Xenopus tropicalis: one gene and its partner. The protein of the gene in region 2 binds, or shares a complex with, the protein of the main gene of each other region. Links are inferred from orthologs where the notes say so. Each region holds a gene or a part of one and is shown on either strand. Other genes may lie near its edges. The genes, in order: ube2g2 and amfr.

Region 1 (4,495 bases), on a different chromosome or scaffold from region 2:
ATCTAGTGGCATAACAAAATATTAAGCACTAAAATATGACAAATGTGAGAATATTTCATGTAAAACTGTACAATGCTATTCATGTTACACACAGTGGCCAAGACAGAAAATCAATCAAGTCCTGCCTTTTTAAAGACAGAACAAGCTGACAAATGAAGCAGGAGAAATTCTCAGGGTGCATCTTTAATCCCTTGCAATTTACTTTTTTTTTTTTTTTTTTTTTAATTTCAGAGCTATTAATTTGGTTTTAAACTGCCAGCTAAGGTTTCCAACTGCACAGTTGGGAAGATCATGTTCAGAAGGAAAACATAACTTTTCTTATATTGCTTTCTTTAGGAAAGAGATCAGATGACTTTTCTCATGAGCAGAACAACATTTTCTTAGAACAGTTCTGGACTCAAGCATGCGGATCGTTGTGGGTTTCTGACCCTGGTCTGTTAATATCATTATTGGATATGCTCTCCTGTGTGAAGTGAGGTGATAGATAAGTATTACGCCTTGTAACATGTTCTAAGAAAATTATTTTCTATTTGAGAACAGGATATCTGTATACATATACATATCTTTCGCTGACTGTGAACTTTTTTCAACTGAGAGTGCATATTATCACGGACTTCACCTTTAAATGTTTGGCATACAGGAGTGCACTAACCAAATTTTCTGAGTGCACCAGCTGGACTTTTGAGATATGCATTTGCATCTGTGAAACATAGGGGCAGATTCATCAATGTACGAGTTCGAATCCCGAAATGGGTAAAATTCGGATTAGATACGATAATTTCTGATGATCGGAAATGTCACAAAAATGTTTGTATCCGATCGATCGTTAAGGGCGGGAAAACCTTTCTGACTTTGAACCTCCTGTGCATGTTTTTGGAAGCAAAAAACGCAGAAAATACACACAGTACGAAAACTCGTATTCGGAAACAATCGTACTTTGATAAATTTGATAGAGTTGATACCCCAACGTTGATCCAACGTTATTACATACTGGTGTTCCTAACAATCCTACTTATAGGTGTGCTTAGGGGGGAAAGAAGGGAACCTTCCATGAATGGCGTTTGTTAATTGTTTTATAGGTTAGGGTTTTTTAATATTTGTTGGCTGTATTGGTGAATAAAGATTGCTATTTTATCATGTGTAACCTCTAATGTGTTTGTTACTTCTGGGATCATTAAGTCCCTTGTTTATTTAAGATTTATATTAGGGGCTCTTTAACAAATTGTGATTTGGAAGCCAGAGTTCCCCTTTAAGTTGCAAAAGTGCTTAGAAGAGAACTCTGAAAGTGTAAGGGTGAGGACACATGGGGGCACATTTACTGTTTTTTCATGAGCATATTTTCGGCGACTTTTTCGTATTTTTAGCGCGAAAAAATCGGATCGGTTTTGCCGCTGTTTACAATCGTTTGGTACGAAAATTTTGTGACTTTCGGATCACCAATACCATATTATCGTGACTAATACGATTTTTTCGGAAGCATTTTCGTGATATTTGCAATCTTCAGAAATTTTCGTTTCCAATCCGAATTTTTCCCTTTCGAGATTCGAACTCGTGTTTTGATAAATCTGCCCCATGGAGTCACTAGCAGCAGCTAAAGGGGCGTCACTTTCTATGACGTTAAAAGCCGACACAAGCGCATCATAGAAAACGATGCCACCGTCAAATTAAGCGCCATGTGGCGAATTTTACTGTCGCGTTACTAATTTTTTCCCCATCCATAGTAGCAGCTACTTGTCACAGCTACAGAAATAGACAAAGCTGATCATTTACTGATAATTGTCTCTATGTGTGTTTTAGCAGAGGCAATTCTCAATATTGTCTATGGCAGGGTATTTTCTGACATTTAGTAGCCATGACAAGTAGCTGCTACTAAGTAGCTCTGTGTGTCTTCACCCTAATTGGCTTCTGACAAAACTGACAATAATGTCTGTGTCTGATTGTGAAAAGGAACTTAAAACTGTAAGCTCCACTGGGTCAGGGCCTGTAAAATATACCGAAAAGTGCTCAGAAACAGGTCAAAACTGTATAGAGAAAAGCTAAACTATACTGTAATATATTGATCCCTCCATTGTTACGAAATATACTGTGATTTAGGGGCATGTTTACTAAGACTGGAGATAAATATCACCATCAGCAATTTGATTTGAACAGTCACCTACAAGTTAGAAATCAAAATCTAAGATCTGATTGGTTGCCACGCTCCTATCTCCTCTGGAAAAACTATTATTCTAACCATCTTAATACATAAAACCTCACTGATGTTCTATTCATTCCTATGGGATTTGTAGAAGCATATTTATCTATTGGTGAGTTCTAAATTTCTCCCTTTGATAAATAACTTTGCTTATAAAAATCCCATAGGAATGAATAGAATGCGGGTGAGTTTTTATGTATTAAGCTCACATTTTGATAAATCTGCCCCATAAGTTTGCCACCTGGCCCTTATTGTACCGGCCTAGATGTAAAAATGATGCCTGATGCCAATGTTCTATTAGGAAACAAGCTAAAATTATAGGAAGGCTGGTATTTTATTCTCAGAAAATGTGCCAACCCTAAGTACACATTGCCTTTTGGTGTAGGTCCCAGATATACAAAACACATGAGGTTGCCGATCCCCCCTAGCTATAGTCAGGATAAATATGAACACATTATTGGAACCCTGCAAAAATCAATAAGAACACTGAGCTGCAACAACATTAACTGAGAATCTACAGAAACCCCAAGACCCTGAAGTGTAACTAATACACAACATAATAGCGCTGCTTCTGCACCAACACTGTCTTTGTACATACGCCAAGCACAGCGTCACTGGCGGCGGCGGCGCTAGGAAATTGGCCTACTGCTGTAACTACCGCAAAGTACAGCAACACGTAAGCGCTGAGCAGGGCACATCACGTGACCGACGTCCCTACTACAGCAGAAGGAAAGCCCTTATCCTTTCTAAAATACCTTGAAGTGTTACTATAATTCCTTACCATTCACCACCCTAACATGTGCACTTACGTTTATATTCAGCCATCAGGCGTTTTAACGCCGTCCCGGCCATCACTGACAGGCGGCCAGCACCACAGTAGCAGCTGCTTCCGAGCGGATGTTTGGCCTCTCTGTGACGTCACGCACACGTGACACGCGGCGTCATCTTCGTTGCATAAATAAGCACAAACCGCAGGAGAAGCGCCGTGTGCGGGCATTTTGTATGTAGGGACACAGTTTCACTTCTAGGGGTTTGAGTGCCTTGAATTTTAAAGGGAGAATGGGTTAGTACCATATTTAGATGTCCTGGTGTGGCAGCATATGGTGACACTAGATATGTGTGTATGTATGGTGAAACTAGATATGTTACCACTACCCACAATAAATGGTTTGCAGTAAATCTGCTGAAGCTTTTTTCCTACTTTTCCAATTTAAACAGCTGATGTTTCTTTATAATAAGCAGTTTGTATAAAGCGTTCCATTGATTAATGTTCTAATAAGTCATTTAGTATATTGTGGGTCAGTGAAGTTTGCTATAGGTTTAACCCCTACCCACCTACCTGCCCCTGCTCTGGCTGTCATTGCTTGCTTGATATGGAAGTTACGTCTGTTTTTACATAAGCTATATAAGGCTATGGCCCAATGACTAGTCATAAGTAGTTCATAACAGTTGTAAAAATCATGAATGTGCTAATAATTCAGTATTTTAATTGGGGGTCAGTGGAGTTTATACTTAGGGGCACATTTACTAATCCACGAACGTCCGAAAAGAGTCCGAATGCATTTTTTTCGTAATGATCGGTATTTTGCGATTTTTTCGTAAATTGTCACTACTTTTTCGTAGCCGTTATGACTTTTTCGTAGCCGTCGCGCAGAGTACGAAAGTTTCAGATTCATTCAAGCTTCAGTATCGTGACTTTCCTTGGGCCGGGTTGGAGCTGCAGAGTGCCATTGAGCCCTATGGGAGACTTTCCTTGGGCCAGGTTGGAGCTGCAGAGTGCCATTGAGCCCTATGGGAGGCTTTCCTTGGGCCGGGTTGGAGCTGCAGAGTGCCATTGAGCCCTATGGGAGGCTTTCCTTGGGCCAGGTTGGAGCTGCAGAGTGCCATTGAGTCCTATGGGAGACTTTCCTTGGGCCAGGTTGGAGCTGCAGAGTGCCATTGAGCCCTATGGGAGACTTTCCTTGGGCCGGGTTGGAGCTGCAGAGTGCCATTGAGCCCTATGGGAGACTTTCCTTGGGCCGGGTTGGAGCTGCAGAGTGCCATTGAGCCCTATGGGAGACTTTCCTTGGGCCGGGTTGGAGCTGCAGAGTGCCATTGAGCCCTATGGGAGACTTTCCTTGGGCCAGATTGGAGCTGCAGAGTGCCATTGAGCCCTATGGGTGACTTTCCTTGGGCCAGGTTGGAGCTGCAGAGTGCCATTGAGTCCTATGGGAGACTTCCAAAATCATGCAAAGTCTGAAAGTTTTGCCCGCCGTTTACGAGCGCTCAATACAAAAAGTCGCGACAATATACGAGCAAATC
Region 2 (3,822 bases):
GAGCTGGTGTAATCAGTAAGGCAGAGGAGAATTTCCTGAATAAAGAGCAGAGTGAAATGTGCCTCTTTTTAAAGAGTACTACTAAATGTGGGGTTAAAAAAGATCTTTAAATAAGATTTTCTTGCTGGCAGAACCAAATAAACCACAGCAGAAGTGTGAGGCAGAATTTTAAAACTGACTGTGTATCCTACTTACTTTTTGTCTTAGCTCATGCCTCCGATCCTGGCTGGAGCAGGACACGTCATGCCCAACTTGCAGGATGTCCCTTAACATGGCTGATGGCACAAGAACTCGTGTAGAACAGCAGAGGGAAAATCAAGATCAGAATGCGGTACCACTGGCAGTTACAGAAGGACGGCCACGTCTCAACCATCATAATCACTTTTTCCATTTTGATGGTAAGAAGTAGCCTGATTTTAAGGTAGACAGAAATCGGTGGGAGTTGATTGAATTTAAGCCTATATCTTGATTTTTCTTTAGGTTCTCGATTTGCTAGTTGGTTGCCTAGCTTCTCAGTGGAAGTAATGCATACAACCAACATCCTTGGCCTTGCACAAGCAAGCAACTCTCAGCTGAATGCTATGGTAAGTAGTTGACAGTGACTAGCTCCTGTAAGGTTACTAATGTACCATATAATTAATCAGAGCATTAAAGGAGAAGGAAAGGCATTTTGGCATTTTATTGTCAATAGATTAGTCACAATAGTGCAAGCAAGAATGCTAAATTTCTTCTTTAGAATAAATACCTGAGTAAACAGCCATTTTAGCTTGGTCTCAGTAGCATTTGTGCTGCAGCTCTGTATGCTGGTAGCTCAGATAACACATCACAGTTAGGAGGGGGATAGAGAGATGATAGGAGGGGAGGAGATGAAGGGATAGAGGAGCAAACTGAGCTGGCTTGTGCCATGCCCTCAAGGATTATTCTGAGAGAAGGAAGTCCGACACATAAGATCATGTATACAGGATAAAAAAAAGATCTGGTAGTTTTTTTTTCCGCTGAGCAGCAATTCTGTAAGTGTGTATGGCCATATTTACATAGACCTTTCTGATAAAGCTTACTTCATTTTTACCCTTCCTTCTCCTTTAACAGTATTGGTCATTACATTTTAGTGTGGTTGATGTTGACTATAACATAAACTTACTGCACATATAGCTGTTTGTTACAGTGTTATAAAAATGATAATTCTACTTTTTTTTTTTTTTTGCTTGTGATCTGTAATATCAATGTACTGGATATCTGTCTTACATCTACTTCTTTAGGCCCGGCAGGTTCTAGATATGTTCCCACAAGTTCCGTATCATTTGGTTTTGCAAGATCTGCAGCTTACGCGTTCTGTTGAAATTACCACTGATAATATATTGGAAGGACGTATTCAAGTTCCTTTTCCCACACAGGTTAGGCAACAGTAGTTACTGTCTTTGAAATTACATTGAAAGTGATTACCTTTAATTAAATCAACCTAATCCCACATTTTAAAATAGTTTATATTTTCTCCTGCAGCACCAAGACGATGTCAGATCTGCAACAGAAACATCTGAAGTCAGTGCACAAGAAGAAAGCAGTACTGCCACACAGGTAAGTAAGTTAGATGGCTAAAAGGGACTTGGCACAAAGTCCAGGTCATATATTTTAGAGATGGAAATGCTCCCTTCTTTATGGGACCGCTATGCCACCCATGTACATAAAAAAGGTGGTGTCATGGTCTTCAACATCTATATGTCTCTATATGTATACGTCTCCTTTTTAAAATGTTGGAAAGGTAACAATTCTTTGTATAATGAACATTTTAATGTTCCCCTGTATTTTTAACTGAGATGTGATTATGTCATCGGAACAACCATTCAATGTCCAAAGTATAAAAAAATTACTTTACCATGCAAAAAGCAATGTTGTGTGCTCTGTCCATGTTTTTTTCAATATTGTCAGAACAACAAAGAACATCAATGCCTCTGTTATTTTACATCTTACACAGACTGAGCGTGTAAATTTGGATTTGAGCCCAGGTCTTGAGGAATATGAGGATTTCAGCGTAATCGAGGCTCAAGTGAGTGATGTCGAAGAATTTGAGGCCAGAGGCAGCAGATTCTCCAAATCTGCAGAAGAGAGGCAACGGATGCTTGTCCAGAGGAAAGAAGATATGGTTCAACTTGCACGGAGGTAGGAGATATGAGTGAACTATTAATAAAGGGATCTTCAGTGAGTAAAATGATGTAGGATAAATACATTACAGGAAAGCAAGATTCAAGTCAAGCTGTTGTAATTATATATATATAATTAGTTAACTGACTTCAGTAAGGTGACTTTAAATCTCAGATGCTATTTTGCCTGTCACTACAACATCTTTTAAAAAGATTTCTACATCTTCACTCTTTTTACTATTTTTTTTTTTATTTTTAAGTTTTTCTATGCATAAAGCAGTCTGACCCTCACTGTTGAGAAATCTATCTTATGCCTCTTTAATCTTTTCTTCTCCAATTTAAATAATGGCAGTTTAGCCATCCTGTCTTTATAACACAGATGCTATGAGTGAGTTTTGGGCCTGCTGTGGATAAGGGAGAAATACCTCTCCTCTCAGTCTTTTAGTGATGGGTGATTTAAGCCTCGTGCTTTAAGACAGATAAGACTGAGATACCTGTTTGCATGCTTGAGATGTAAATGAAATGCCGGAAAATGGTAGATGTGCAATTAGTGGGAGTTAGGGAGTGAGCACAATTGGGGGTCACCAATGGGCTGCTGTAAAAAAAACCCTGTTTAGGTGAAAAGATGTGATCAGATTCTTCAGTTCAGGTCAATAATTGGGCAACTTTGATACTAACTTTGAAGATCTATATCATCAGGGCTGGTTATAGTATAAACACCATACTTCATTGTAGAGAGATATTTCAATGCTTTATAAGATAAACTAATATTTATGTTCTCCTCTTAGACGTTTTTTAAACAGGACTTCAGAGGAAGACAATCCTGACTGTTCATCAGAGAGGGGTTCACACACAGACAGTTCTTCAGATTCAACGACTGTGCGGAGGCGCATGCTGGCTGCAGCGGCAGAAAGAAGAATTCAGATGCAACAGTCCCCACAGTAATCCCAGTGTGCATGGACACAACCTAACCTTGAGCCTTGTACAATGGATGCACACATTGACACTTTCTTACTTTGCTCCTTGTTCATGAGCTGTACCAGCTCACAGAGAGAATTTAATCTTTTATAATCTTATTTTTTTGCAATATGTTTAGAATAAGCAAAGCCATTTCTTGGTTCTAAAGGCAAGTTTGCGCATGTGATCCTGGATCATTCTAACTCTTCTCTGATTGGCATCCTAATGAGGAGGAACCGTCAGTATTTTAAGCAGAGTAGGTGCCAGAATATTAAAGTAACATAGGGTTTTTTTTTTTTTACAATGATATTGACTAACTAACATAAATGTTCAGAGAAATGGAACTGGATGAACAACATTAAATGATCTACACCAGGTAGTTGGAATCTGTTTATATTACTTTAATAGTTTTCAGATGTCAGATCAATTTTTATCAAATTTCTGTTGTCATAAAACAATTGCATGAATACTGTGTTGCTTTATCTAGAGTGCTTCAAGAAGGTTTGGTGATAATACTTATTTTTTAGATGTTATGCCAAATGAAAGTGATTTGGAAGCGTTAAACTGTTCTGTAAGATATTTAATGGGGATGTTCACTTACACAGCACTGTAGCTTAATAGGTATGGTCTGTACAACATCTGCAGACTGTAAAACAAAGTAAAATCTGGCCACCAAAATATCATGATTTACATTACCTAAAAGATCAGTTTCCTGCCAAAGCAGGAG

The links.
Region 1: the proteins of amfr (region 2) and ube2g2 are in contact, whole or in part, in an NMR structure (PDB 2LXP), measured with the Homo sapiens proteins. The link is inferred for Xenopus tropicalis from reciprocal best matches to the Homo sapiens genes AMFR and UBE2G2. Residues at the interface, in NP_001135.3 of Homo sapiens: Ser574, Ala575, Arg578, Gln579, Met581, Leu582, Arg585, Lys586, Leu589, Leu590, Ala593, Arg594, Arg596, Phe597, Leu598, Lys600; in NP_003334.2 of Homo sapiens: Tyr13, Leu16, Thr17, Pro20, Gly23, Ile24, Val25, Ala26, Gly27, Pro28, Met29, Asn30, Glu31, Glu38, Leu40, Met42, Glu45, Glu50, Phe51, Val53, Val159, Gln160, Leu163, Gly164, Leu165.

The regions. Positions count from the first base shown.
Region 1 is NC_030685.2:55,076,417-55,080,911, forward strand, and holds the start of ube2g2 (ubiquitin-conjugating enzyme E2 G2), read right to left. Parts: upstream 3,078-4,495; 5' UTR 3,047-3,077; coding exon 3,004-3,046; intron 1-3,003. UniProt on the Homo sapiens protein: Accepts ubiquitin from the E1 complex and catalyzes its covalent attachment to other proteins. In vitro catalyzes 'Lys-48'-linked polyubiquitination. Involved in endoplasmic reticulum-associated degradation (ERAD).
Region 2 is NC_030680.2:51,700,965-51,704,786, reverse strand, and holds part of amfr (E3 ubiquitin-protein ligase AMFR), read left to right. Parts: intron 1-207; coding exon 208-398; intron 399-480; coding exon 481-584; intron 585-1,259; coding exon 1,260-1,394; intron 1,395-1,500; coding exon 1,501-1,575; intron 1,576-1,972; coding exon 1,973-2,157; intron 2,158-2,926; coding exon 2,927-3,083; 3' UTR 3,084-3,822. UniProt on the Homo sapiens protein: E3 ubiquitin-protein ligase that mediates the polyubiquitination of lysine and cysteine residues on target proteins, such as CD3D, CYP3A4, CFTR, INSIG1, SOAT2/ACAT2 and APOB for proteasomal degradation.